Notamacropus eugenii: one gene and its partners. The protein of the gene in region 3 purifies or fractionates together with the protein of the main gene of each other region. This does not show direct contact. Links are inferred from orthologs where the notes say so. Each region holds a gene or a part of one and is shown on either strand. Other genes may lie near its edges. The genes, in order: METTL9, CSGALNACT2, SLC30A5 and SLC30A6.

Region 1 (8,019 bases), on a different chromosome or scaffold from region 3:
TATTACAAGTGTTATTATAAACATGCCAAGCCTAAGAGATTCATCCACAACTACCTAGTGCTAAGGCACTATCACTTGTCTGTCATTTCTATTTCATAATTCTCTACCTTATTCATGCTTCCAGAGCAGTCATCCATATAGTACTTAACAGTTTTACTGTAGTCAGTAGACCATCCTTTTTAAGAAAAAAAGGTCAATCACTACCAATAATTATAGTTTTGCAATTTAAGAAGTACCTATCCTAACTTTTCCTGCCTATGGTAATCACCTAACAATGAAAATGGGATAACCAGGACTTAAAAAGAGAATTCATCTTTAAAAAAATAATAATCATTACAAATACTTGATAAATCAAATATTAGAAGTCAAAGATGCACATCTTTCTCTGGAGAGCTGCTTCATCAGTCAGGGACCACAATCTACTTTTTCACAAAATTCTTTTATGTGTTTCAGTGAGGAAAATAAAATTGTACCCGGGTACAAATGCCTTTAATAAAAATTATTTACACTCCTTCCCTGATATGACAAGGAAGGACAAGATAGTAAATTACAACACCATAAAACAACGATGTCTTATTACACTGGCAACTTTTTTTAACAGACAAAAAGATGTCTACCTAATACTTATCAATAATATCTCTGGAAGGGTTCTAAGGGCTCTTTTTAAAATAGGTGCAATGTTAACTTCTCCCCACCATATAGGCAAATCTTAAAGACTTCAGTTCCATTCACCAGTCGGTGTCAGCCAGTAAGAGGTCATACTGAACACAAATCTGAAAAACGCACTTGAGAGTTCTTTTAAGAGGCCTCATTTCCATAACTTCGCCTTTCTCCCTCTCACAATGCCTCTGGCGAACACGTATACTGAAGTTTAAACGAGTTCTCATTTTTCCAGAGGAGACTGCATTGTCTCAAGCCCTTTACACGTATTTCAGAACACACACGGTCCGAAAGCGTTCCCAGAGTAAGTGCTGCGTTCTGTGGCTCACGCTGGACTGCTGAAGTTTCTTGAAACCCCGCAGTCTTCAGCCCCTCAGGAATCACACCCCAAACCACACTACGGGAATACGACAAGGACAGCGGCCTGGACAGGGGAGGCTCCAGCGCCCCGGCCCTTAGTTCCAATCTTACAACCTGAGAGGGGAGGCCGCGCTTGGGAATACCTGGGTCCCCAAAGTGAACGGGGGGCGAAGCCCTCACAGTAAACATACCACCTACTCCCTCCTTCCAGCCTCGGAACCACAGAGGGGGGAAGGGACGGCAGCGCGGGCAGTGCTGGGCTGAGTGGGAGTGGGGCAGGGCGGAGGGGGGCCAAGCCGAGATAAGGACGAGAGGAGAGGGGGTGGCAGAAGGGAAGAAAAGGCCATTTTTCTTCTGCGCAGGCCAACGTCTCCAGCCAGCCAAACACCCACTTTCTTCCTTAACAAAAGGTCCCCTCCCAGCAGGGGGCCTGGGGCTAGTACTGAGGGTTTGGGTCCGGGCATTAAGAGTTTGGGGAGGGGGAGGGGTCTGTGTGTACCTACGTGTACGGAGGGCGCCGCAAGTGGGGGACGTCCGAGTTAGGGGGGGACAGAGAGGGTGTGTGTCTGCGTGTGCGCGAGGAGGGAAATGGGGGGGCCGATCCGAATTTTGGGAAGGGGAGCAGTGTGTGTGCACAGGAGGGTGCTGCCAGGGGTCCAAGTTTTGGGGGGATGGGAGGATAACCGCTCCGAGGAAGGGCGGGGGAAGGCGGCCGGTATCCCGTGGGAAGTCTGGAGTCGGCTCGTCAAACTTTCTGGGGAGGGGGAGAGCGGCGGCGGGGGCAGGGCCCGCCCCTTCCTCGGTCCGGCGGCGGGGGGCGGGGTTGAACTTGACCGGGTGCCCCCACCCCCGGCCCTCACAATGGCTGCGCCCCCTCCCCTCCCTCCCCCGGTCCCCTCCCCCGGTTCCCGCCCGGGCACACGCACCACCCCCCCCGACAGCCGCCCGGGGGTCGCGGGGCGCCCCTCCCCACCTGGTGGTTGTCCTTCCGGCCGCCCGCGGCGCCTGGCTCTCCGGGGCCGCCGCTCATCATGTTCATGTAGAGGGAGCGGGCGAGGGGACTCCGCAGGGACCGGCCGGTGCCCGTCCACATCCTCCTCGCCAGCCACAGCGAGACCAGGGTGAAGCCCAGCCAGCCCAGGAACAGTCTCATGGGGGGCCGCGGGGCGGCGGGGTCGGGGTAGCTCCGCGGCTCAGCCCCGCCGGGAAGGAGGCGAGAAGGAGGCGCCGCCGCCGCTGCTGCTGCTGCTGCCGCTGCCGCCGTCGCTGTCGCTGCCCCCGCCGCCGCTGCCGCCCGCCGCGGCCACTCTCTCCATCGCGCCCAACTTACCCATCCAGCCCCTCCGAGGCTCCGGCGGGGGGTGGGGAGAAGCGGCCGGCGAACACCCCAGCCCGCCTCTCCCTCCCCTTCTTCTCCCCTCCCCTCAGTCCTCCCCCACACCCCTGCCCCTCTTCCTTCTTTCGGCGGAACGCCGTTTCCGGCAGTGGCGGTTTCCGCCCGGAGCGCGTTTCTAGGGGCACACCGTGGCTCCCCAGTCGTGGTTACTGGATTCGTTTGGTCTCCGGCTCGAAGCCGGACGCGGACGCAGTGCGCGCACCGGAAGCGCCTCCTCAACCAATCAGCTCGCGCGGGCTCGCGCACGGAGGCCGCGGGAGCGCGCTTGCTTGCCCAGCGGGGCCCCTCTTAGCCCCACGCTAAACCCTTTCGGGCCCATTGTGTAGTGGCTGCGGAGGAAGGAAAGGCAGGCGCACGGCCCGGCACAGTGGGCCCTAGCGGGCGTTAGGCGCGCTGTCGGCTCCCGAAGGCACGGTAGTACTCAAGCCCTTTTCACTTCTTCCTCTGCCCCTCAGAAACCGGGGCAGGGGCCGGGGCGGACCGCCCCCACTTCCGCCTGCGCGGCCCATGCCGGCCGGGGCTTTAGGCGGGGGTCTGTCCCGCGGACAGCGCTGTCCAACTTGCCCTTTTCTCGTTCATCTGTCCTAGGGGTAGTCGCCTGCTTCCACTCTTTGCTCCTTGGTCTTCGCAGGCAGGTGCCAGACAAACCAAAGCTTTCACCCTCTCCCCTCGCAGAGCTCCCTGAGGTTGGCACTGGGGTCTAGGGTTGGCACAAGGGGCGACCGCCCTCACCCGTCTCTTCCACCGCGTTTCAAGGAGGCTGCCTAGGGCTTGCGAACGATGGCTTCTCCCCGCTTAAAGCCTGAGGGTGCCCTCCAAACTGGGGAACCTCAGGCTGGGTGTTGGAACCCGCCGGGACACTTGAGGGTAAAGACAGGAAGCCGCTTGTCACTTGAACCTACAGACCGTCTTGTGTGCGTGAAAGGGTCCACATCCTTCTTTAATTGTTGTTATTTCCCCAAAGAATCATAAGGTGTTTCTCTCTTTAAGGTCGTCAACCCACCTGTTATAAGTCAGTTGGGAAGGTAGGTAAACCAGCAGATCGAACATCGAGTCTGGAGTCAGGAGGTCTTATCTTACTGAGTTCAGATTTAGCCTCAGACAGTAGCCGTGCAACCCTTAAATCTGCTTGCCTCAGTTTCCCCATCTGTAAAATGAGCTAGAGTAGGAAATGGCAAACCACTGCAGTGTGGGTCATGAAGAGTCAGAAACGACTGAACTGAAAGTGTGTTAGTCACTGTGCTAAGCCAAGGCAAAACAAAAGCACTTTTAAAAGTCCCTGACCTTAAGGAGCTGGTAGTCAGATGGGGTGAAAGGTATTATATAGAAGATCATTTTAGAAGGCACTAGCATTAAATCACTAGTAAAAAGTTCTCTCCACAATAGAGTATCTCTACAATACTACTAAAACCTTTTAAAAACTATTGTTTCAAATAAAAATTTATTTTCCTTTCCTTCCATGTTACCTCCTCTATTGGAGAAAAAAGAAGAAAAAGAAAAACTAAGTCCTTGTGAAAAATACAGGCAAAATGTTCTTGCATTGGCCATGTCCGAAAACATGTCTCATTTTGCCCCTTGATTCCATTATCTTGCTGTGAGCAAGGTATCCCAATTTTAGTAAAGTCTGAAATTTTTCTTTAATAAGAATTCCTTTCCAGGGTTTTTAAAGACCCTATTTGATATTTTGTTATTGTTCAAGTGACCTCTTGGACTTGTCCATGGAGTTTTCCTGGCAAAGATATTAGAGTGGTTTGCCATTTCCTTTTCGAGTGTCTTCCCATTTGGCAGGTGAGAAACTCAGGCAAATAGGGCTTAAGTAACTTACTGAACATCTGTACACAGCTAGTAAATGCCAGATTTGAACTCAGAAAGATGAATCTTCCTGACTTCAGGCCAGGTGCTCTATCCGTTGGGACACCTAACTGCCCTAAAAATTAATATTTAGTTTTAGTTAAAAATACATTTAATCTTAGCTAAAAGTAAATGTAATAGAAGGTCAAGATGTTGGAGGAAAAGGAAGTAGTGAAGCTTAGCTCTCTCTTACAATTATAGGACTTGACGGAATTGGATCGCCTAGAGAGGGGGTCCACTACACTATGAAGTGAAGGGCTTCAGCACATCTATGGAAAGAAAAAAAAGTCTCAGTGCTGGTTGCTTGGAAAAAATAAAGGGGAATAGCACATTGTGGAAGAATCAGCCATTATTTGGAGGAAAGCCCCAGCCCTCAATTCTCCTTATTCTTGGAGCTGGGGATGATTAAAGATTAAAGAAAAACCCCTCTCCCCAAAGATAAGGTGATATCTCAGTTTCTGGGACAAAAGAAAAGGCAGACTGAAGGAAGGATCCTAACTTAGTATTATCCCTTGAGGGAAAGGAGAGTTCAGTCAAAGGCCAAGGAAAGCCTTGGAGGCAAAAGAAAGACCTCTGAGGTAAAAGAAAGGACTTTCCTTAATAAGGTTAATCTAGGACTGGGCTACCTCAAAAAAAGTACCAAGCACATCAATATGAAAAACAAGTAAGCCCACGAAGAAAAAAAGGAAAGAATAATTATGTTTCCTGAAGTGCCTAAGATACAAACCCAGAAAAATAACTCAAAAACACCTATAACCAAAGTCTCAAAGAAAAACACAACTTGCCCACAAAATCAATTAGAATTCCTAGAAGAAATGATTCAAGAGTTTTAAAATGTTATAAATCAAATTAAATCGATAAAGAAAAAAGTGGAAAAGAAATGAAAGCTATGGAAGATTTTGAAAGACAACTACAATTTAACATGAGAGGCATAAAACCCTACTCAAATAACAGACTCCCCTAAAAATTAGAAAGCACCAAATAGAAGTTAATGACTGGGAGATAATAAGCAGTATTGAAAAGATTGAAAAAATAGGAAAAAAATTGAGTTGTCTCATTTCAAAAACAATTGAGTTGGAAAACCAATCAAGGAAAGATAATTTGTAAATCAGTGGGCTACCTGAAAGCTATGACCAAAAATATGATATATTTCAAGAAATCATAAAAGAAAGCTGGCCAAACAGATCAATAAAGCAAAATGATCACTAATCATTTGGAAGATGAAACTCCCAAATGAAAGTTCCCAGTAATGTCATTGTCCAAACCCAGTACTTTCAAGTGAAAGAAAAAAGTGTTGAAAACAGCCAGAAGGAATTCAAGAACGACATTCAGAAGATCACATAAGATTTAGGAGCTATGATTGTAAAGGAGTGAAGAACATGGAATGCAACATTCCAAAAGGCAAAAGATATAGGCCTAAAAACCAAGGATAACTTACCAAGAAAAACTGAATATAAAGCTACAAGGGAAGAAAATGGATCTTCAAAGAAATAGAAATCTTCCAAGAATTCCTGCAGAAAAGACCAGAGCATAGTAGGAACTTTGAAATATGAATACAGGAGTCAAGAGAAACATAAAAAAGTAAACACAAATGGATAATTGGAAGGGATTTTATCTTTTTATATTCTAATGGGGGAGAGTATAATATAAAATTCCTTTCAGGACCTTGGTGTCATCAAGGATGATGGAGTCAAATGAGAGGGCCTAGAGGTAGTTTTCATTATATTTTGACAATTTTGAAAAAATAAAGAAAAGTAGGAAAGGATGCAACAGGGGGAGAAAAGGGAACAAGCTTGAAGAAATTTTTTATCATATAATTGAAATGCTCAGGTAAAAGTTTATACAATGTGGAAGAGGTGTAGGGAAAATGGTGCCGTCTGAACTTCACTTTCATTAGAACTGGTTAAAAAGAGCAGAACACACACAACACAAACAAACATCCACATAAAGGGTTTGGTATAGAAATACATTCAACTCAGCATAGATATGAGAGAGAACAGGAGAAAGGAAAGTTGGGACATAAGAGGGAGCATAGGTTAAAGGACTGATTAATCTTGCAAAACAAATCTAAACTTGGAGAGGGAATAATGACGAGAGAGTGAAAAGGAAAGAAACAAAGGGTAAAAATCTATAATGAAGGGATAGGGAACAAAGAAAAGAAAAAGTTTAAGAGAATAAGAATGGAGGGAAATAAACAACTATCATAATTGTGAATTGTGGGATGAATTCAATTGCAAATTTGAAGAGAAGAACATAATGATTTAAAAAGCAGAAATAACACTTGTTTACAAGAGATATACTTGAAGCATAAGAATTCACACAGAATTAAGAGGCTGAAGCAAAATCTATTATGCTGAAACTAAACTGAAAAAAAGGTGTGACAATTATGACAAAGCAAAAATAGAAAATAACTTTTTGCTGGAATTCAACACTTAAAATATAGACACTAAATGATGTAACATCTAAATACATAAAGGAAAAGCTAATAAAATTATAATAGTGAGATCCTCAATATGCCCATCCCTAGAGCTAAACAAATCTAAAAAATAAAAATATGTTAGAATAGAATTTTAGAAAAGTTAGATATAATAAATATCTGGTGATTATTGAATGAGAACAGAAAAAAAGTTCAAATATTTTCTTAACTGTTCATGACACCTTAACAAAAATCAAATGTGTATTAAAAGATAAACCTAACTACAATGCAGAAAAGCAATAATATTAAATGTGTCCTTTAATAATATTAAGGATTACATATTGTAATAAAAACTAAATTCAATAAAAGGTCATTAGAGTATTAAAAACCAACTGGAGATGAAACAATCCTAAATTATAGGTAGGTCAAAAAACAAAACAGAAACAATAGATAGTTCAATAAAAGATAATGATTTTGGAATGCAATCCTTATAGGAAAATGTATATCTCTTAGCACTATCTTCAACAGAAAAGAGGGGCTTCCAGGTGGAGCAGTGGATAGAGCATTAGTCCTGGAGTCAAGAGGACCTGAGTTCATATTTAGCCTTAGACGCTTATTAGCTGTCAGTGGACAAAATACCCTGATCGCTTTGCCTCCTGAAAAAAGAACAAATAAATGACTTGAGTATCCAACTAAAAGCTCTAGAAAACTAACAAATTTCTTAAAATTAAACACCAAAATGGTGTTTAAGGAATAGATTAACAAAACAAAAGGAAAAAAATCACTAAATGAATAAATAAAATTAAGATCTTTTTTTTGCTTGGGGGGAGAGAACAACAAAATAGCTAAACCATCAGCAAATTTGATGTAAAAAAAAAGGAAAACTAAATTATTAGTATCAAAATGAAAAAGAACAATTCCCAAGAAATGAAGGATATTATTAGAAACCATTTTGTCCAACTATATGTCAGTAAAGCTGACAAAATGAAATAGATGAATACTTATAAAAAATATAAAATAACCTTATCTCAAAGAAAGGGAAGAAAGGAGAGAGAAATAGAATTTGGAGCTCAAAACTTGTTTAAAGTGTTAAAAAATTTGCTTTAGCTGGGGTAAAAATAATAATGTAATGTTACGTTGTAATACATATAACCAAATTAATAGAACAAGAAATAGAGATTTAAGGATTTCAATCTCAAAAAAAAAATTATCAAGCCATAAATCAACTCTGAAGGGGGAAAAAAACTGTGGATCATATAGATTTACAAATGAATTCTATCAAACATTCAAAAAACAATTCTAATATTATACAAACTGTAAAAATAGCACAAGAAGT
Region 2 (7,548 bases), on a different chromosome or scaffold from region 3:
ACTTCTTGTCCCTCTTTTAAGCAGAAATTCTGCCCCTCAGGACAGCTATAACCTAATCACTATCCAGGCACCTACAACACCAGTTCCACAAGTACCACTGGAAAACCATCACCCACTCTCTTTTCTCCAGATCACTATACAGCAGCTGTGATGGATTCTCTGCTTCAAGGACAGGCTCTGAGTTCTAGGCACTGGCTGGTAGGAGCCCTGTCCTTCCCCCTTTACGATTTAGGTGTGAAAGCCAGAGTCTCATAGGACAAACAGGCATGGACAGACAGGTTGTGATCTACATCTCAGGCTTCAGTAGTTCTCTTTCCCCACAACTCGAATCTTCTTCCAAACTTTCCTATTTCTATCAAGGACACCAACATCCTTTTTTTCATTCAGGTTTGCAATATAAGAATTCTCTTCAACTCCTCACTCTCTCTAACCCCAACTATCCACTCAGTTGTCAAATCTTGTCATTCTACTGGCACATCTCTTCCTCCCTACATACAGCCATCACATCAGTTCAAGCCCTCATCACCTCATATTTGATTATTGCAACAGTGTAGTAATAGCTGTATGTTATGGCAGTACAGGTATGTGAGATGTGTCTGTGTGTACACATGCGCACATGTATGTGTGTACTGTACATATATATGTACGTATATGTGTGTATATGTCTGTGTGAATGTATGGGACAGCTAGGGGGCACAGTGGATAGAGTGTTGGGCCTGACATCAGAAGACTCATCTTCCTGAGTTCAAATCACTTAAACCTATTTGCCTCCAGTTCCTCATCTGTACGATGAACTGGAGAAGGAAATGACAAACCACTCCAGTATCTCTACCAAGAAAATCCCAAATGGGTTCACAAAGAGTCCGACGAGACTGGAAAATGACTCAAGCACAAAAATATTATACACACATGCACATACGCTGGGGTTGCAAACTCAATTCTTTTTTAACTAACAGAAGTATGCAATCCAAAGTTTGGAGATCCCAGTTTTACACAACTTTGAGCTAGGACTGGATTAGGAAATGAGACCATTCTTATTCATCATTATTAACATTCTCTAAGCCACAAATAAATAATGGAAAGCAACCCTCAGAAGGACCTTCAAGTCACAATCCACTATTTTAATTAAGAACTAAAAACAAAGCACAAAATAAATGACTGAGATTAACAGACTATCATATACACCCTCACATTTTACTTCGTGTAGAAAAATTAACTTTCCTCTTCACATTCTGAGCTATTATCTTTAATGATGCGCTACAAGGAAAACATGACTGAAAATGGAATTCATCTTGGTACACAAGAAGTAAGACAAAGCCACCGTAAGTTCTCAGAAAGTTAAAATGTACATTGCACAATTCTTTTAAATTCGGTCTGTAATAATCAATATGAAATCAAACTTTAAAATACTAACAGATGCTTAATCAAGATACTCTATCATCACCTAAATTTAAACAGCTTCCTTCACAAGAAGGACCTGTGATTTTCTAGACAGGCAGTTCTAACAACCACAACAACAAAATAACATTTGCACCAGCAATTTAAGGTTTTTAAAGCTATTTGTTTACCACAGTAACAACCTAGTGAGGAAGTGAAAAAAACCAGAGACGACTTGTAATAAGAATATACAAGATTTGGCAACTTGAATGGATTATCCCCATTTTAAAGAAAAAGAAAACTCTGGCAGAGAGGTGTGAAGTGAATGGCCCAGATAAGAGCTCAATCTACCATGCCACTTACCTGCCTCCATCACTTCAATCTCTCAAAAGACTTACTGAAAGGTCTTCAATATTCGCTGAGGCCATCCTGCAGCAAACCTGGTGATGAACTGCTAAGCGACATCGCTAGCATGATCCTCCAAAGACAAACATTCCATCAACCAGGAGCTACACTCTGGGCAGCATACCAGCTGTAGGAGGACCAATTAGCCAGTCCGTCTCCCAAGAAACCAGGGTCTCCTCTACACCAATCAGAAGGAGGCTCCTCGCTTTGGAGAACCAAGGTCTCCTCCACGATAAGAAGGGCTAAGGCTTTGGAGCAGGACTTAGTTCTGGATCTACACACACAAAAGTCTTCTCTCCTCTCCCCCTGCTAACTTCAACCAGTGTCTTCAACTCTTGAAATAAAAAAAAAAGTGGGGAGCAACTCTCCAAACTCTAAAATAAGCTATTTTTAACTAACTGTTCAGGTAGTTTCTGAGTTGTTTAGAAGAGAATGCAACATTGTATTCAACGAATAGCAAAATGTTGTTCATGGTAGTAACAGTTTATCACCAAATAGCTTGCAAAGTGTAGCAAGGGGAGAGTGTGGGGAGGAAAGCCTAGCGATAGGAAAGAAACAGTAACACTCCAAAAACCACTCCTCCGCTGGCAGCCCCGCTGCTCTCCAGACTCCCAGCCCAGCCCTGCACCCAGGAGCCCAGGCTCTTTCGAAATGACTCCGCAACAGAAATCATCCGGAGGAGGGTGGGCACTGGGGCTTCTAACGGGGGAGAGAGAGAAATAGACAAGGAATGTTTTTCTACTGCAAAAGTAAAATAAAATAGTCTCGAGGCGAGGGCAGAAGCGGTGCCCGGCACGCACGCCCCTAGCCTGGGCTTCAATGGTTCGGGGCAGCCGAGCTCCCGGCACCAGCCCGCAGTCAGTCCGTGCGCGCAGAGCCGGAGCCGGGGCCGGGAGACAGCCGGGAGCCGGAGCCGGGAGCCGGAGCCGGGAGCCGGAGCCGGGAGCCGGAGCCGGAGCCGGGAGCCGGGAGCCGGAGCCGGGAGCCGGGGCCGGAGCCGGGAGCCGGGCTGTCAGCCCGCCGAAGCAGAGCGCGGTACTCACCACAGCCAGCCTAGCGGGAGGAGGCCGAGGACATGCCCCGAGGCAGAGCGGCGGAGCCTGCGGGCGGGCGCGGGGAGCCCTGCTGCAGAGCCCCCGCCGCGGGGCCGGAGGCGCCACTCCCTCCGCCTCCTCCCCCCCACCCTAGCTCCTCGCGCCACCCTCAGCCTCGGCCCCCTCGCCTCCCGGAATAACGGCCACTTCCTGTGTGCGCGAGGAAATGAGGCCGCCGCGCGCCCGCCCGCGCCGCCACCGCCCGGGCCCGGCGTCCTGCGCGCGCTGCCCCCTCCCCCACGCCTACGCCGGCGCCCGGGGAGCCCGGCTCCAGAACAAGGCCCGGAGCCCCGCCGCGCCCACACTCCTCTCCCGCCCCCTGCTGTCAACCGCCCAGTGAGGGGAGGGCAGGGGAGGAGCGGGGGCCCGAGAAAGTGGGGAGGGAGGAGGGAGAAAGGAAGAAAAAGACAGATGAAGGAGAGAGAAGGAAGGAGGAAGGGGAGAGAGAGGAAAAAGAGAGAGCGGGGCAGGAAAGGGAGAGAGATGAAAGTGACCGAAAAGAGGGAGAGAGAAGGGAGGAGGGAGAAAGTAGGTGAAACAGAAGGAGAGGGGGGAGAAAAGGAGTGAGAAAGAAAAAAAGGAGAGGAAGGAGAAAGAGCAAGGAATTACAGACAGGGGAAGGGCGAGGCAAAGCGGGAGTGGGAGAAAAGAGAGAGAGAGAGAGAGAGAGAGAGAGAGAGAGAGAGAGAGAGAAGGCTTGCACTTCACGTCCCAACACTCGGCAGCCCATTCACCATCCCCAACTTCACCGAGAGCGATAAAGACAGGTGGTGAGAAGGGAAAAGTTGGACATTTGTTTGCTAAGTTTATGTCCTCATGGTGGTATATGCACACACACATATATGGATGTATATGTATGGATGTATACATATATAAACTGAAACATATTTCTATCTATCTAATCAGTTGCCCTTTGGGCTCTTTTCTACATAGTCTATCTACCTCCCTTGTAGGTCCTGTAATTTTACCAGGCAGGATTTGACGAGTTGTTTCCTCAGAAGACTTGATCTAAATCGTGCCAGTTCTTGGGGGTCTAGCTCAAGTTCCTAACAACTGGACCGAATTCAGCCTCTAACCTGTGGGTGGCTGGAGCCAAACAGAGCAGGCTTAGAGACAGGAGAGTCAGGACAGAGTGAGGGTTTTGTTTTTTGTTTTGATTTTTTTATCCTCAAGGAGCTTAATTTCAGAGTGAGGAAAATAATGTATGCGTATGGAAGCCCCCTCTCCTAAGAAGCAGGGTTTAACATGCTAGACTAAAGGCAGTTCTCATAGACATCCTGGACTGGACCAGGATATAATAATTTACAGGGTGTGTCAAGCTGTCTGAGGTCACGTTTGAACTCAGATCCTCACAACTCCAAGTCAGTTCTCTATCCATTACACCACCTAACTATTCCTTTAGTCTCTGAAAATTAGACTGGTTTTTAATGTATATAGCGCAAGACTTGTTATTAGGAACACGTAGGTTCAAATCTCACTTTAGACACTAATTGTGTTGTCCTGGAATAATCTATTGACTTTTAGGGCCCTCTAAAGAAATGAAGGTCTTGGACTTGATACCTTCAAGGATTCTTCCAGCTCTAAACCTATGATCATCTGCTATGAGAGATCCTTCCAAGAGTAAAAGGTTTCTTACTACCTAGTCCTGAAAATCAGTGGACTTCTGATCATCTTAAAAAGGGCTGAGTCCATCAGAAAGTAAAAAGTATAAATGATCAACCCTGAAAATGTCTTAATGGTTCTAAGTTTGAAGTGAATGGTATTCATCTTATATCACTTTTCTGATTTTTTTTTAAAGTTTCTATCAGTTGTAGGATTTTGAATGGGGTACTAAAATTTTTCTTGGGACACTAGTCACTGGGCAAAAGATCTTAAAAGGTCTTAAAGTAAGATGAAACCCATGAACAAGGCACGAATTAAAGAAGTAATACCTTTGTTGTGAGAAAAGCCAATAGGAATCCACACATCATTCATTATTCACTATATGTACCCTTCCTGCAGTGATTTAGAGAATGTTTCCTAGTAAATTTATGGAGGTTTCCCTACATGTCATTAGGAAATAGCCAAACTCTAATCATTGAAAAATTATCTTCCAGTATAAATGCAAAACAAATTAAGAAGAGAGACTGTGCAATGACCAGTCCAAGCAGAAAGATTGTATTTCTCATAGAGGCTACAAAAAGGAGAATGGGAATGCACATTTAGTGCCCATCAAGTTCTTCTGCTTAGAATTCAATGGACTACCTTACCTTTTCAGCTTTAGATATTACCCTCGAGGTACTCTACACTCCAGCCAAGCTGGACTACTCTGTGCCCCTGGAACAGTGTTCCTTTCTGTTATTCACTCTGTTCCCTGTCATTATAATGCCCATCTCCCCTATGAAATTACTGTGAAAATCCTACCCAAAATTTTAAAACTCAAGTCAAATGTCACCTTTTCCAGGAAAACTACTGAAACCTGCAAAAAATAATTCCTCTAAAATTGCACATATTACTTTTTTTGTTACTCTCTAATGCACTTTGGTGATATTGAGTATTAAAGCTATAATGTTCCTATCTTCCTGTAAATCCCTTGAGGACAAAGACCATTTCTTCCCCTTAAGGGCAGGGATTGTATGACATATATAGTAGGGCCTTAATAACTGTTATGTTTGGTCTTTCTTGTAATTCATCAGGTTCCCTTCTTAGCTTGATGGAAATATTCCTTAGTAAGAGTCAATTCCCTTTGCCCTAATTCTGTGTTCTCCAAGTAACCTTCTAATCTAAGATTTGGTCTCCTTAGTGGGGCTTAATCAGTCAACATGGAGAGCTGCTTAGCAAGATCCTAACCTGGGTGTGTGTGTGTGTGTGTGTGTGTGTGTGTGTGTGTGTGTCTGTGAGTGTGTGTCTGTGTCTGTGTGTCTATGTCTGTGTGTGTGTCTGTGTGTGTGTCTTTTCTGCATGAATAAATGGGCATTCTGGTTTAATAGTTGATCTCTCACAACTTTACTTGACATGATTTAACTGTCTAAAGTTTGATCACCTTCTGCTGAACTGATAAAATATGTTTTCTGAATCTGTAAAGCTGAGGAACAAACTCAGGGGCATGGTGACCTCATGGAAGTATAGCATTGTCTGAAAGAACTAATCTATCAACAGAATTCATGGCAACGTTGAAACCTGTTTCCTTGGCAAGATTTGGTAAATGGGGAAGAGTAGGGAGAAGGGGCTGGGGGAAACCATAGCTAAAATTTAGAGCAGTTAGTTTCTTTAGGAAGTTGAAACAAAAGAGCACAATATTTACTAATATATGTGTATATGTGTTTATATATACATATGTGTATATACATGTATATGAATTTAAGTTGCATTTTACATAAAAGAAACACATCAGTCAGTCATATAACATTTCCATAAGCAAATCCACTAACAGTAGAAACAAAGTCATGGGGTTGGCTACACTCAGCCACTGTTGACAAATCTAATTCTTCTTCCAGTTTCTATTAATAAAATTCTCTTCTAGGCTGTGCTTGCCAACAATGAACAATTTTTAATGATTCGTAGATCAGTAAACCATGATCTGACCTGAGGGCAAGTAATCAGTACACAAAATTGAAGGACAGATCCAAACTTTACTCTAATGACTCTCTCATTCATCCAAGTGAAATTGTTAGACTAACTGCCCTTTTTTGCTTCTTGGGTCATTGGTTAATTATAATTTAATAAGAACAGTGAGACTAATTTTCATCTTGTAGAAGTCAAATGGGATAAGATCTTTCCATTGAATAAAATTTAAGAAGTTAGACTGCTTTAATTTTTAAGGATTTTAAAAATCTAACTTCTTAATATACTATATAGAATTCCAGTCTTATGAAAATATTGTTTTATTTCCCTTCTGTTTTGAAGTTTCTTATTTTTTCTTTTAACCAATTAGCTTCTGCACTAGCCTGAATTTTCTTTGCTCTTATTATTACCCATTTTTTCCTTTCACTCCCCTCCTTTCTTACCACAAAATGTAACATGCCAAATGCCTTTTTACTTAAGTAACATGACATGAAATCAGAGCACCAAGGTTACTTTTCTTTGCTTTTAGACTAGCAATGGTCTTAGCTCAGTCATAAAACTCGCTACTTAATCATTTTCTGTCTTTTTAGCTTTTCCCATGATTAAAACATACATATGCTATATATATGTCTGTGTTAATATATACATATTCAACATATAACAACTTAACGAGACACCATGCTATTTTCTTAAAATGTCTATCTGGGAAAGAAGAACATATACAAATCAAGTGGTATAGCAGTTACTGGGTTAACTTCATACTATTTATGTAGCAGCTACTTACTACTTCCCCACACTTCATTTTCTTCATCTTTTACATGGTGGTGAGGGCTGTTTGGGTCTCAGTTTACTTATTCCTAAAATGACTCTATGACTAGATCATCTTTAAGGAAACTTCCCCACTCTAAACTTTACAATCCCGTGAACTCATGGTATAGAAAGAAAAATAAATATCTTAGAGAAACTGACCAGCTACACAAGTACACTTTTTAAGTCATTATATTGCATCAAGAAATGTTTTTTTTTTCCTTTGGAGCAGAACAATTATAACTCTTCTTTCTGCAGGGTCATTTCTACAAAAGCAACAATGTTGTAAAAATACATAGCCAGGATGAGTTAAAAACTGGGA
Region 3 (7,455 bases):
GTAGAAAGACAGACCTATAGAAGCTCCCTCACACAGTCCATAAAATACCTGTAAAAAATGACTCTGTAGAGCAGCAGAAACCACAAAATGACAAGTAAAAGAGATTTCCAGTCCAAGACAGCCTGGAAGGCGAAGAGGAAAGGTCTGCTGCACTGGGCACGGAGCAAAGCCCAGGCGGCAGAGACAGGACCCAAAACAGGCTTCAGGGTGTGATTAGCAGCAGCTGCAGTCCCAGATTGCTCAATCCACAAACACCACAGACAGTTTCAAAGGTCAGTGAGAGGGCTCCTTCACCCAGGAGAAGGGAACCATTTACATTCCTGCATGGAAAGATAATATTTGTAACTCCTGAGACTTTTCTCAGTATTTGGGTAGTTGGAGGGATTGTGCGTGCGTGCGCGCACACACACACACACACACACACACCACAGTGTGAGTTGAATAAGAAGGGATGATATCTAAAAAAATAAAGAGGTGAGAGAGGAATGTATTGGGAGGAAAAAGGGAGAAATGGAATGGGGCAAATTATCACTCATAAAAGAGGCAAGAAAAAGTTTTTTCAATGGAGGAGAAAAGGGGGGAGGTGAGAAGGAAAAAGTGAAGCTTACTCTCATCCTGTTTGGCTTAAGGAGGGAATAACACACTCACTAAATATAGTATGAAAATCTTCAGGAAAGTAGGGGAGAAGGGGACAAGTGGGGTGAGGGGGATGATAGAAAGGAGGACAAATGGGAGGAGGGGGGTAATTAGAAGTAAACACTTTTGAGGAGGGACAAGGTCAAAAGAGAATAGAATAAATGGGGGCAGGATAAGATAGGGGGAAATATAGTCAGTCTTACACAACATGAATATTATGGAAGTCTTTTGCAAAACAACACATATATCGCCTATATTGAACTGCTTGCCTTCTCAGTGGGGATGGGTGGGGAGGGAGAAAGGAAGAGAAGTTGGAACTCAAAGTTTTAGGAACAAATGTTGAGAATTGTTTTTGCATACAACTGGGAAATAAGAAATACAGGTAATGAGGTGTAGAAATCTATCTTGCCCTAGAAGAAAAGAGAGAAGATGGGGATAAGAGAAGGGAGGGGTGTGACTGAAGGGAGGGCCTATGGAGGGAAGGGGTAACCAGAATGCAAGGGTTATGGGGGGGAGGGGAGAGATGGGGAGAAAATCTGGAACTCAAAATTTTGTGGAAATGAATGTTGAAAACCCAAAATAAATAAATGTTAAAAAAAAAAAAAAAGAAACAGCAGAAAGAGGAGAAAGGCACATCAATGATCCTCTCTAAACCATCTACAATGTGATGACAAAGATGAGCTGTTCCACCCTCCTCCAAATCCATTCCCCCAGATATCAGAAACCCTTTGCCTGACTCCCACAGTCCCAAGCACAGTGGGAAGGCTGGGAATTCTTCCAACTACGTATGAAGTGAGAATGTAGACAGACCTTAAGAGACCAGGCTTTGCTTGAGGTTTCACAGCAGGATTTCTGAGGGGAACACTGCTGGGGCGCTGGAGGGGAGCTGCACATCCCTCGCTGTCCCACTTCCCATCTCCCTCCCATGTCCCACCTCATCTTCCTCTTCTTTGCTACATTTCTTGGTAAAAACTGCTTTCATTCTTAACGCCCCCATGTCCTCCCAGGGTCACCCTGCCAAACACAACCCTAAGGCTCCGAGCCACCTTCTAATCACGAAATCCCGCCCCCTCTGCCCAGTCCTTGTGGACGCCCACACAATTACCGATACAATGTAACAGCGGCCCTCTGACGTCAGCCCTACTAGACACCCAGGGCCCTCTCCTCTGCTCTCCAGCTTTTCAGCCTCTCCCCAGGCCCCAGTGGTCTCTTGGCAGATGCCCTCGCCCTCAGCATCCCCGTCCTTACCGAATTAAAACGTCAACAAGAGATGATTTAACAGATGTACTGTCAGAACTGCTACGGCCACCTTCACGCCCCAACTTATCCCCCGGAGGGTCCGACACGAGGCAGGGGCTCCTCGGACACACCCCCTCAGGATCTCCGTGCCGGCCCCGGCCGCGCCGGCCCTGGAGAACACAGGCCCGCCTGCAGGCCGCGGGGATGCTGTCAGGGGCGAGCCGCACCAGACCACAGGCACATAACGGACGGCAGGCCAGGCCGGGCCGGCTCCCGGGCCCGGGGGAGGCCCCTCCTCTGAAGGAGGGCAGCCATCCCTTCCAGACCAATTAGGGAATAATTAATCGGAAGTCCACGTAGCCCCGGGGCACGCACGTGCACACACACCTCCCAGCACCGGCTGTGCCCCCAGGACGGGCAGCACTCGGGTTAACGGGAAGGGCCCACGGCCGGGGGAGGGTGGCCAGAAGGCCCCTGAGGGCACTGTTCACGGAGGGAGGCCCCGGAAGTTATTGGCCTCTGCCCCCGCAGGGTCACCGGTGGCGCTTCGCCCCGCAAGGGATCGGGGGAGGACGGGCGTCCCCAGTCACGACCAACCACCGGGGACGGGGCAGAAGGTGAAGGAGTGTAATAAAATAAATACGGTAAATCTGGGCGTGGCGACAGCGGAACCCGGGGCCCCAGCCGGGTCCGAGCGTTTTACAGCCCGGGCCGCCGAGGCAGGGCGCGGACGGGGCGGGGGTTCCCCTCCCGGGGACGCCCAGGCGGCACTTACCGGGCGCTGGGCACGTCCACTGGCCCGAGGCTCCCGCCGCCGGCGAGCGCGTGGCTGCCGTATTTCTCCTCCATCCCGCGCGGGTCTCAGGGGCCGCCGCCGCTGTCGCGGGCCCCGCCGCGGCCAGGCCTCATCTCCCGCCGCCGCCGCCGCCGGGCCGGCCCTTCACTCGCCCATGGCAGTTCGCGGCCTCGCAGGCCCTCCCTGCGCGCCTTCGGAGGCCGGCCTCACTAGGCCGCGAGCCGCGGCTCGGGCTGGGGCTTCCGCTCCCGCTCCGGCTCCGGAGGCGCCGGGTTACCTCGAGGTGGCGGCGGCGTGAACGTTACCAGGCCACGTCATCCGGCCGGGCCGGCGGCCTCCTCCCAGTGCGCCTGCGCCGAGGACTAGCTGCTCCCTACCCGCCCTTCCTCCTTCCCCGACCTTCCCTAACTTCCCCTCCCCCTCCTTGGGAAAGACTCAGAGTTACCGGCCCCGCCCGGCCTCCCTACTTTCCCTTTCTACTCTGGCAAGGGGTCACTGTGAGCTAAGGACCTGGAGAGATGGATGGATGATGGGTGGATGGATGGATGAATGAATGGATGGTGGGTGGATGGATGGATGATGGGTGAATGAATGGATGGTGGATGGATGGATGGTGGATGGATGGATGGTGGGTGGATGGATGGATGGTGGGTGGATGGATGGATGATGGGTGGATGGATGGATGATGGGTGGATGGATGATGGGTGGATGGTGAATGGATGATGGGTGAATGGATGGATGGTGGGTGGACGGATGGATGGATGGATGATGGATGAATGGTGGATGGATGGGTAGATGGATGGATGGTGAGTGGATGGATGATGGGTGGATGGATGGATGGATGATAGATGGATGGATGGTGGATGGGTGGATGGATGATGGGTGGATGAATGGATGGGTGGGTGGATGGATGATGGGTGGATGGATGGATGGATGGATGGATGGATGGATGATGGGTGGATGGGTGGTGGGTAGATGGATGCTGGATGGATGGATGGATGAATGGATGTGGGTGGATCGATGATGGGTGGATAGATGGGTAGATGGATGGATGGTGGGTGGATGGATGATGGGTGGATGGATGGTGGGTGGGTGGATGGATGATGGGTGGATGGATGGATGGTGGGTGGATGGATGATGGGTGGATGAATGGATGGGTGGGTGGATGGATGATGGGTGGGTGGATGGATGATGGGTGGATGGATGATGGGTGGATGAATGGATGGGTGGGTGGATGGATGATGGGTGGATGGATGGATGGATGGATGGATGATGGGTGGATGGGTGGTGGGTAGATGGATGCTGGATGGATGGATGGATGAATGGATGTGGGTGGATCGATGATGGGTGGATAGATGGGGAGATGGATGGATGGTGGGTGGATGGATGATGGGTGGGTGGATGGATGATGGGTGGATGGATGATGGGTGGATGGTGGATGGATGGTGGGTGGATGGATGGATGGTGAGTGGATGGATGGATGATGGGTGGATGGATGGATGGATGGTGGGTGGATGGATGGATGATGGGTGGATGGATGATGGGTGGATAGATGGGTAGATGGATGGATGGTGGGTGGATAGATGGATGGGTGGGTGGATGGATGGTGGGTGGGTGGATGGATGGGTGGGTGGGTGGATGGATGATGGGTGGATGGATGGATGGATGGATGGGTGGGTGGATGGATGGATGGGTGGGTAGATAGATGGATGGTGGGTGGATGGATGGGTGGATGGATGGATGATGGGTGGATGGATGGATGGATGGTGGGTGGATGGATGGATGGTAAATGGATGGATGGATGATGGGTGGATGGATGGATGGATGGTGGGTGGATGGATGGATGGTGAGTGGATGGATGGATGATGGGTGGATGGATGGATGGATGGTGGGTGGATGGATGGATGGATGATGGGTGGATGGATGGATGGATGGTGGGTGGATGGATGGATGGATGATGGGTGGATGGATGGATGATGGGTGGATGGATGGATGGTGGGTGGGTGGATGGATGGATGGTGGGTGGATGGATGGGTAGATGGATGGATGGATGGTGGGTGGATGGATGGATGGATGATGGGTGGATGGATGGATGGATGGTGGGTGGATGGATGGATGGTGAGTGGATGGATGGATGATGGGTGGATGGATGGATGGTGGGTGGATGGATGGATGGATGGATGATGGGTGGATGATAGATAGATGGATGATGACTGTGGAAGAACTGAGCAGAATCATACATCTCTAGTATTTATATGACAATGATGAAGTTGGTAATAATAGTAATAACTCGTATCTCTGTAACATGATAATAATGATGATAGCATTTCTATAATAACAGCATTCCCATAATGATGATGATGATGAGAACTAATATTTCTATAACAGTAATAGCAAACATTTATAAAGTATACTAGCACTGTTCTAAGTGCTTTACGATTCTTATGTCATTTGATCCTCATCACAGCCCTGGGAAGTGGGTGCTGGGACCATCCCCAGTTTACATTTGAGAAAACTGAAGCTGATGGAGATTGACTCCAAGATTGGCTTGGCCCAGAGTCACCCAGCTAGTATTTGAGAGAAGATCCCAGGTCCAGCACTCCAACCACTTTGCTGTCTAATCCAGGCCACAACTAAACAGAGCCTCCCCTCTCTGTTATCCCCAGCTTGGGATGGTGAACTTACTGCTCCACATTTGTACAGTGACTTCTTATCCTCCGTTCCTTGTCCCCCCTCTGTGGAGGAGAAAAATCGAGCTGGATCTTGGAGGAAGTTATGTACATAGAAAGATAGAAGTGATGGAATCCTAATAAAGCTGCTCCCAGCCCCAGTATTCCTTATAGGCCCCACTGAACAAAAGGCCCACTGCCCCTACCTAGCCACTCTCCCCACCGCTCAACATCCTAACTTCCTCATATAGGCCTCACTGCTGGCTAGAACGACAGGTGTGTCCATGAGCTCATAGTTCCCACAGAAACAGCAGGCATCTCCACGTAATGGGGTCCCAGCCACTGCCCCCAGACCCATGCCTCATATTTCCCACAGAAATAGCAGGTGTGTCCATGCACTCAACCACAGCCACATCCATCTAGCCTTAGACAGGATCACAGTATTCAGCCAATTAGAAAGCAGCACTACCAGGATGCCTAAGTAGGATGTAGACCCCAAAATAATAGAAGGGACTTTCCCTAAGTAGGCCCCTGTGCAGTAATAGTAAAGAACTGATCTAGATTGAACTTATGACATAGAGAGGCTTATTATAATACCATTATCATATATACATACCCCCCCAAATGAATTTTTCTGTATGTAGTGTGGGTAATCACATGCATACTTCCACTGTCGCTGGGATCTCTCCCCTATTACCTAATCCCTTAACAAACCCCTCCTGAATTTTTAATATTCATAATTTCTGTTGTGTAATTGCATTTTTACCCTATTAAAATTCATCTTGCTTTCCCTGAAGTTACTGGTTCCTCTGGGAACTTAGCCTGCTTCATGAGAGGCGTCAATCTCAATAAATGCCTGTAGTTGGATTTCAGGTGGTCTCACTCTGAATTCTTTAAGACAGTTCCACCACAACACATAACGAAACCCCAGCAGAGCAGTTCAGGTAAGGAAATTTAAAAAAAACCATGGAGGCAATAATTAATAGATGGGTTCCGGCAATGTAAACATATTGGCGTGGCTGGAATGCAGATAAGATTGAAACTCAGATACTCTCATATCTAAGTGGTGCAAAACTATAAAATAAAGGATTTTTCTCTAACATTAAAAAAATATCTACAGAGCCAAAGGGATTCTCCTGTAAGGAGGTCCCTATGGTCTGGATTTAGGTACTATATGTTATACGGGACTTTGAAGCATTTCTGATGAAAAGACCAGAGCTGAACAGAAAATGTGATCTTCAAATGCAAGGCTCAGTGGAAGAATAAAAAGGTAAATAGGAAAGAGAAAACAAAAGGCATTGAGTAAGGTTAAACTGCTTACATCCCTACAGGGGAAGATACTTTTAACTTTTTTAAAATTTATTTTTTTAAATTTATATTTATTTATTTTTAGTGTTCAGCATTCATTTCCACAAGATTTTGAGTTCCAAATTTTCTCCCCATCTCTCCCCTCCCCCTAACCCAAGACACCCTGATTACCCTTTCCCCAAGTCTTCCTTCCCTTCTATTACACCCCTCCCTTCCCTTATCCCCATCTCCTCTATTTTCTTGTAGGGCAAGATAGATTTCTATACCCCATTACCTATGTTTCTTATTTCCCACTTGTATGTAAAAACAATTTTTAACATTTGTTTTTAAAGAATTCCAACTTCTCTCCCTTCCTTCCTCCTCACCCATCCTCACTGAGAAGACAAGCAATTCAATATAGGTTATACATGTGTAGTTATGCAAAAGACTTCCATAAAAGTCATGTTGTGAAAGACTGACTATATTTCCCTCCATCCCATTCTGCCCCCCATTTATTCTATTCTCTCTTTTGACCTTGTCCCTCCCCAAAAGTGTTTACTTCTAATTACCCCCCTCCTCCCATTTGCCCTCCTTTCTATCATCCCCCACACCCCACTTATCCCCTTCTCCCTCACCTTCCTGTAGTGTAAGAAAGATTTTCATAACAAATTGAGTGTGCCTGTTATTCCCTCCTTAAGCCAAATATGATGAGAGTAAGCTTCACTTTTTCCCTCTCACCTTCCCCCTTTTCCCTTCCATTGAAAAATCTTTTTCTTGCCTCTTTTATGAGAGATAATTTGCCCCATTCCATTTCTCCCTTTCTCCTCC
Region 4 (7,482 bases), on a different chromosome or scaffold from region 3:
TGTTTAGAGCACAGTACTTTGCAATTAATATACACTTAATTTTTTCTCCCATTCATTCATTCTTAACTATATCTTAATAAAAAACCTGAAAGCATGGAATAGTCATTGTTGATATTTTTGACTAGACTTAGAAAACATTTAAAGTATGAGAGGTAATACCATCTTCAAATTATTTTTTGCCTTGTCAATGGTTTCTCATCCATTGTGCTTTTATAGCAATGTAATAAAAATGGAAATTTTTCATGGATCTTTTTTTTATTCCAAAATAAGCATGATTTTATGTTTACATCTTCTTTATATAGTCTTTGGGGGAAATAAAAGCAAGATCCTGAAATAAAGACAATAGGGAATTTGAATCCATCTCTTTCCACTGAAACTGTAATTAGTAATAACTGACTGGACTCTTAGACTGATGCCTTCTTTGAATATTAGTGTATTTTTCCTTGACAGTATTCAAAACCACTGAAATTATGACTGCCCTAAACATCTGGGTGTCTTAAGGCTTAGTCCATTTGCAGATCAGGAGAGGCTTTTTAGCTATAATGCGACACTATCCTCTCCTGGCCAAAGAATAATGTATATTCAGGCTGGTCTCCAATTCAAATTTATTGGCCTGGATCATAAAAGAACAACATTCTTTACCTTTAAGGAGCTTATGCTATGGAGATGGTGATGATGGCAGAATTAAGTGAATACAACATGTTCAGAAGTAAATACAAAGTAACTTTTTCAGATAGAACAGTTATTTATTTACTCAGTAATTTCGAGAGGAAGAGAGTACTAGTGGTGAAGGGGTTAAGGAGGCAAGGCAGACAGTGCACAATGAGGAAAAGGTCTTGTGTTTTAAAGGGAGCTAGGGATTCTTTGAAACAGGTTTGTTTTTTTTTTTTTTTAAAAGGTAGTGAATTCCTGATACATAGGACTATTTGTGCCAAGGCACAGGGGCTAGAGAGGGCAATGTCTCATCTTCCCAACAGCCAGCAAGTTGGTGTACCTAGAGTGGAAAATGTGTAAAGGGGAGTAATGTGAAATAAGACTGGAAGGATAGATGGAAGCAGCTGAGAAGGGTTTTAAGCACCAGGCTAAGGATTTTGTATTTGATCCTGGAAGCAATAAGAAACCATTGAAGATTTTTAAGTAGGAGTGTGGAGGATAGATTAGAGAAGAGGAAGTCCTGAAAGCAGAAAGAAAATTTTGGATGCCATTGCTGTGGTAAATGAGAGGTGATGGAGCTCTCAACTGGGTTAGAGTTTTTTGTGGATGGCCAAAGTAGGGCAAAAATAAGAGATACTGTGAAGGGAAAATCAGAAAGATTTGGCAACTGAACGTGAGGGTTGCACGAATGTAAAAAGCTAGGGATAACATTGTGTTGCAAAACTAGATGACTGAAACAATTGCAGTGCCCATGAAAGAAACAGGGAAATTTGAAGAAGAGATGTGCTTAGTGATTGATATGAGTTCTGTTTAGTTTGTGAAGCCTATGAAATATCTGGGTGGAGATGTTCTAGCAGGCTGTTGGAATACAAGAGATGAGGGCTAGAAATAAATAGTAACTGGAGAAACAAAGTCCCTTCACCTTCACTAGAATTCTCAAGAGGCTCACATTCTAATAATGGGTGAAATAAAACATATAAGAGGGTCTTGCAAGGCCAATGGAAAGGTCGAGTGGTCCACAGGGTACAACAGTAAGGCGGAGAGAGGGCAAGGTCTGGTGGTCCTGGCTTTAACAAAAAGTAAATAAACAAATAAACCTTTAATTATTGTAAAGCCTGATAAAGTTGTATTTATTTATTCAACAAATATTTCTTAAAACATCTCCAGTTTGCTAGGAGCTGACAGACAAAACATTAAGGGATATTCTCTGACCTCAAGGAGTTTTTGTGTTAGTAGATAACAACACAGGCAAAAAAAATAGCTATGCACCTTAAGTATCTACTTTACACAGACTATGTGCCAGGTGCTGGGATTACATAGGCAAAAACGAAATTAGTCCCCACTAAGAGGTACTAACATTCTCTCTCACCACAAATACAAAGATAAATAGAAAATATATACAAGCCATTTGGCAAGGAAGAAGGGGAAGTAATTTGTAGCAGTGGGAGAAACTATGAACTTCTTAATCTCTATTTAAGGAGGAGGCACAGGAAAGACATTTCCTGCCCTGATGTACTCATTCTGGATTTTTTTTTACTTTTCCACTATGCCCTGCCTACAGGGTACCTTCCCCATCTCCAAGCCTACCCCCTTTTTCCTTCTTTTATCTGTTTTCTTCCCCTATTAGATTGTAAACTCCTTGAGAGCAGGGCCATTTTTTTTCATATTTGTCTCTCTAGGGCTTAGCACAATGCGTGGTTCACACAGTAGGTGTTTAATAAATGTTTACTATCTAGAAAGGCCTGAGTAGGTACGGTCACTTGAACTGAGCCTTCAGTAGATCTAAGGACTCTAAAAGGAAGCAGTCCTTGCCCTCAAGGAGCTTATAATATAAAAGAAGATAGATCATACAAAAAGAGGCAGGAAAGCCAGGATTTGGGGGTGGGAGGGAATACCAGGAGATACCTAGCATGGGGGGCATCTTGTTCCATGGAGTTGAAATCAGGCAAGGTAGCAGATACAAAGGTTTGAGTCAGAATTGTGGTTGTGAGTGAAAACAACATATATGAGAGATGATGTGAAGGTAAAAGCAAGCTTTAACAGTGAACAGAGAAGAATAAGTGTAGATGCAGCTGTTACTGGAAAAAGTGGACAGGGAGGCTGCGTCCTTGGCGGGGAGCCAGGTTTCAGGTAAAACAACATCCTGGGGCAGGTAGGTGGCACAGTAGAGACAGTGCCAGACCTGGAGTCAGGAAGACTCGTCTTCCTGAATTAAATTCTGGCCCCAAATATTTACTAGCTGTGTGCCCCTGGGCAAGTCACTTAACCCTGCTTGTCTCATCTGTCAAATGGGCTGAAGAAGGACATGGCAAACCACTCCAGTATCTTTGCTAAGAAAACCCCCATGGAGTCATGAAGTCAGACATGACTGAAAAATGACTGAACTGAAGGTTTCAATAATAGCTAGTAGGTGCAAGAAGTGGGAGAGGAAAAGATTTAGGATGAAGGAAGTTTAATGCCTACAAAACAGACATTCCAGAGAGCACAGGGGAAGTGCAGGGTGAGGTTAGGATGAAACTTTGGTGTAAAAGGGTTAAGGGAAATGGAAATAAGGAATTGGGTGGTAGGGGATGTGGAGTTCAGTTTGGATATCGATCTACAGGAATTCCAAGTTACCAGGATGTGAAGGGTATGATCAGGTGTGAGAATGTTCATCGTTGTGGAGAGTACCACTCCTCTACCCTCAAATGACAGGTGCAAGGAGAGATGGGAGGCCTGAAGCTGAGGGGAATGTTGTTCTTTGAATTGGGGGTTTTCCATATCCCAGTTAGGGGATTGGACTGGCAGTAAGAAGAAGATGCCCTGTGCTGGTAAAGATGGAAGTGGTTGCTTAGAACTTTTCTCACAGTTGGGGAGGGAGATGCAGAATTCCCTAGGTGGGGGAATCACAGACCTTATAATAAGTCACTTGACATTACATGTGTTCGTCCTTCGTTGCCGAAGAAGACCATGCCATCAGAGAAATGACGTGACTTGCACTTGACTTTTATTTTTCAGTGAGGTAGGGCTGTGCAGGTCACCATCCTCACTTCTCCTCCAGAGCCATCTGAATTCAGTGACCAGATATTCATCAGGATGACTGGAGATGACCCAGGATGAGGCACTTGAGGTTAAGTGACTTGCCCAAGGTCACACAGCTAGTGAGTGTCAAGTGTGCGAGGTGAGATTTGAACTCAGGTCCTCCTGACTCCTGCACTGGTGCTCTATCCACTGCACCACCCAGCTACCCAGCCTGAGATTATACATCACAGAGCAGGTGTCATACCTACAGAGTGGAGAGAGTTTCCTCCCTTGGAAACGCAATGCCAACCAAAAAGCCTCAGACACACACAGGCATTCCCCCCAAAAGCCTTCAGACAAGCCTACCATAAGCTACTTCTCCCGAAAGCCTTCGGACGAGGACCCAGAGACCCCCCCCCTCCCCCCACACACAAAGCTTTCAGAGAAGTCCACCCCAAGACACGTGTACAGACATCTCCAAAAGCCTTCGGGAAAGTCTACCACGAACGGGAATCCCGCTTTGCCACTGAATGGTTTCTGCAACCGCGGCAATGAGCCTGCCTGAAAGTCACTTCCAGGCTAAGAGCGCGAGGGAAGTGTCCGCTCCTCACAGCAGCCTGCGGGCACGCTCGGCCCCCTGGGTAATCAGGAGTATGAGAAAGGAGCTCCCTCTCTTCGGCCTAAAGAGCTTCCCAAACAACTTCACCACAACGACCCTCTCACCCTGGTAGCTCCCTACGACATCTAGCCTCTCCTCACTTCCGGATTCCTCTACCTCGGCCAATCACCCGCGTTTGTTCCGCCCCTTCCTCTCGGAGGGAGGCGGGGGGGCGCTGCCCGCCAGCGGCAGAACGACTTCCGGCGGCGGGAGCTGCGGGGCCCCTTAACATGGTGAGTGGGCCGTGGGCCGCGGGCCGGGGCCCGGGACGTGGGGTGTCTGGCGCTCGCTCGGAACGGCCGCTGTCCGGTACAGCGGCCCCGGCGAGGCGGGGCGGGGGCATTTCGGCTGTCTTCAGTCGTCTGTCTCTCCGGAAGCGAGGCGGCAGCCGCTTCCTGGAAGGTCCCTCCCCCCGCGCCCAGCTTTCTCTTGCCGTCTCTCCGGGCCTGCTGCGTCCCGGGCTGCTCTGGGATAGGCTTCCGTGGCCCCTCCCTTCACCGGCCCGGGCGCAGCTGCGGTCGCCCGCCGGGCTGGAGTCGACGTCCCGCGCCTGTGGCTGCCGAGTGCCCTGGTCTGCCCACAGGTGCCTGGGGCTCCACTCTGGTTTTCTCTTAATATAAAAATAACTAGCCCAAGAGCCGCCCCGGAGGGCATGAGCGGTCCGGGACATTGGCGCAAAGTTCTCAGAATAAGCAGTGCGGCTAACGAGGAGAGCGTAGACAAGCGTTTACGCGTGCCCGGCTTAAGTGCTCCACATCACAGAGGAATACCAGCGGAAACTTAGGATTCATCTCTCCGTATCCAGTGAATTGCCAGAGATGACTAGGGAGGAAGAGCCACGAGGCTTTTACAAAGTGCCTGCCAAGTCCCGGGTCCTGGGGTGCTGTGGATGCAAAGAAAGGCCAAAAGCGAGGACTCCCTGCCCCCAAGCTCACCTGCTGAGCACCGCACACAGATAGAACATGTTTGTTCATAGAATGCGTGTGCCTGTTTGCCATATATGTTATATGATGGAGAGACAGCACACGCAAGTGCTATTCTCTTTTCGGTTGTGTCCGACTCTTCCTGACCCCGTTTAGGGTTTTCTTGGCAAAGATACTAGAACGATTTACCAATTCCTTCTCCAGTCCGTATTACACATGAGGAAACTGAAGCAAACAGGGCTGTGACTTGCCCAGGGTCACACGGTTACTCAGGGTCTGAGGTGGGATTTTCATTCAGGAGAGGAGTCTTCCAGATTTCAGGCCTGGCACTGTATTCGCCTTACTACCTAGCTGCCCATTTACACACACACTTGTTTGTGCGTTGTCTACACCACTAGAAGGTGAGCTTGAGAGCAGGGGCTTTTTTGTTTTAGCAGATAGAGGAATAGACAGACATAGGTAATAAATTGAAGGTGAAGGCCCAAGAGCAGGGACTGTTTGTTTTTGCCAGTATTTCAGTCTTTTCTTTTGTGCCCAACTCTTTGTAACCCTATTTGGAGTTTTCTTGGCAACGATACTGAAGTTTTTTGCCATTACCTTCTCTAGATCATTTTACCAATGAGGAAACTAAGGTTCACACAGCGAGCCAGACTTGAACTCAGAAAGATAACTTCATGACTCCCAGGGCTGGCTCTCTATCCACTTAGCTGCCCATTTTGGCAATATATAGATAGTTAACTGGAGATAATCAGAGAAAAGGCTCAAGGGTGTTTGAGCTGAGTCTTGAAGAAATTCAGGACAATGAACTTGGAATAAGGAAGAACTGTATTCACATCTATCTTCAGTCTCTGGTTGTGACTAGGTGAGTCATTTTCAGTGCCTCCTTTTTCCCACTTGTGAATGAAAGGCTGAATCTAATGGCTTCTAAGGTCCCTTCCAATCCTAAATCTGTATAATGCTAAAAAGTTTCTAGGTACCCTCTGGGAGAACTGGAACCCAGAATGACAAATACATGGAAGCTTGCTCCCTTGAAGATTACGTCTGCTTGAGTTTTCTTCCCCCTTCTTTGTATCCCCAGAGTTTAACATGGTATCTGGCACGTGATAGGTACTCAACAAATGCTAGGTGATTGAATAACTGATTTCTACTTTTACATACTTGTTTTGCCCAGTAAAACTTAAGGGCGAGAACTGTTTGGTTTTGTCCTTGTATCCCTTTTGTATTTAGCACAGTACCTAGCACATAGGTATTCAGTAAATATTTGTGAAATTGAACTGAATTAATTGAATGGAGGAGAGTCTCTCAGCTTTGTTTCAAGATTTCTAATCTTTTGTCAGCTCCATGCCTCCGCTCCATGTTGCATTTGGGCAACTCTTTAATTGGAGTGTATCAGTAAAGTGGCCGATTGTGGTAGCCAAGTTAGAATTTTAAATTTAATACCCTTTGACCCAGCAATACCACTACTAGGTCTGTATTCCAAAGAAATCCAGAAAAATGAGAAATGACCTATTTGTACAAAAAATATGTATAGCAGCTCTTTTTGTAGTGGCAAAGAATTGGACATTGAGGGGATGCCCATCAATTGGAGAATAGTTGAACAAGTTGTCATATGTGGATGTAATGGAATACTATTGCGCTATAAGAAATGATGAACAGGCAGATTTCAGAAAAAGCTAGAAAGGCTTACATGAACTGATGCTGAGTGAAATGAGCAGAACCAGGAGAACATTGTACACAACAATAGCAACATTGTACAGTGATTGGCTATGATAGACCTATCTCTTCTCAGCAATACGATGATCCATGTTGGAATCCTTGTTGGATGTTGGAAAATGCTAACTACATCCAGAGAAAGAACTATGAAGTCTGAACGCAGATTGAAACATACTACTTTCACTTTTTTTCTTTCTCATGGTTTTTCTCTTTTGTTCTTTCACAACATGACTAATGTGGAAATATGTTTAACATGATTGTACATGTATAAACTATATTGGATTGCATGTCCTCTTGGGGAGGGGAGTAGGGGAGGGAGGGTAGAAAAAATTTGGAACTCAAAATTTTACAGAAATTGAAAACTACATTTACATGTAATTGGAAAAGAAATTTAAAAAAAAAAGAAACGAGCAGTCTGTTTTCAGAAAAACCTGGAAAGACTTAAACTGTTGCAAAGTGAAGTGAGCAGAACCAGGAGAAAATTGTTCACAGTAACACCAGTGCTGTACAGTGATAAATTGTAAATGACTTAGC

Evidence for each region.
Region 1: the proteins of SLC30A5 (region 3) and METTL9 purify together in Homo sapiens (co-immunoprecipitation; 3 studies listed by BioGRID and IntAct, with this or other methods). This does not show direct contact. The link is inferred for Notamacropus eugenii from reciprocal best matches to the Homo sapiens genes SLC30A5 and METTL9.
Region 2: the proteins of SLC30A5 (region 3) and CSGALNACT2 purify together in Homo sapiens (co-immunoprecipitation; 3 studies listed by BioGRID and IntAct, counting the BioPlex papers as one, with this or other methods). This does not show direct contact. The link is inferred for Notamacropus eugenii from reciprocal best matches to the Homo sapiens genes SLC30A5 and CSGALNACT2.
Region 4: the proteins of SLC30A5 (region 3) and SLC30A6 purify together in Homo sapiens (co-immunoprecipitation; 5 studies listed by BioGRID and IntAct, with this or other methods). This does not show direct contact. The link is inferred for Notamacropus eugenii from reciprocal best matches to the Homo sapiens genes SLC30A5 and SLC30A6.

What each region holds. Positions count from the first base shown.
Region 1 is NC_092874.1:396,485,701-396,493,719, forward strand, and holds the start of METTL9 (protein-L-histidine N-pros-methyltransferase), read right to left. Parts: upstream 3,011-8,019; 5' UTR 2,174-3,010; coding exon 1,994-2,173; intron 1,760-1,993; exon of another isoform or gene 1,524-1,759; intron 797-1,523; exon of another isoform or gene 729-796; coding exon of another isoform or gene 696-728; intron 1-695. UniProt on the Homo sapiens protein: Protein-histidine N-methyltransferase that specifically catalyzes 1-methylhistidine (pros-methylhistidine) methylation of target proteins.
Region 2 is NC_092872.1:228,383,649-228,391,196, forward strand, and holds the start of CSGALNACT2 (chondroitin sulfate N-acetylgalactosaminyltransferase 2), read right to left. Parts: upstream 3,015-7,548; 5' UTR 2,826-3,014; intron 1,760-2,825; exon of another isoform or gene 1,741-1,759; intron 1-1,740. UniProt on the Homo sapiens protein: Transfers 1,4-N-acetylgalactosamine (GalNAc) from UDP-GalNAc to the non-reducing end of glucuronic acid (GlcUA). Required for addition of the first GalNAc to the core tetrasaccharide linker and for elongation of chondroitin chains.
Region 3 is NC_092875.1:474,546,278-474,553,732, forward strand, and holds the start of SLC30A5 (proton-coupled zinc antiporter SLC30A5), read right to left. Parts: upstream 3,003-7,455; 5' UTR 2,725-3,002; coding exon 2,651-2,724; intron 1-2,650. UniProt on the Homo sapiens protein: Together with SLC30A6 forms a functional proton-coupled zinc ion antiporter mediating zinc entry into the lumen of organelles along the secretory pathway.
Region 4 is NC_092872.1:534,968,429-534,975,910, forward strand, and holds the start of SLC30A6 (zinc transporter 6), read left to right. Parts: upstream 1-4,471; 5' UTR 4,472-4,542; coding exon 4,543-4,545; intron 4,546-5,971; exon of another isoform or gene 5,972-6,097; intron 6,098-7,482. UniProt on the Homo sapiens protein: Has probably no intrinsic transporter activity but together with SLC30A5 forms a functional zinc ion:proton antiporter heterodimer, mediating zinc entry into the lumen of organelles along the secretory pathway.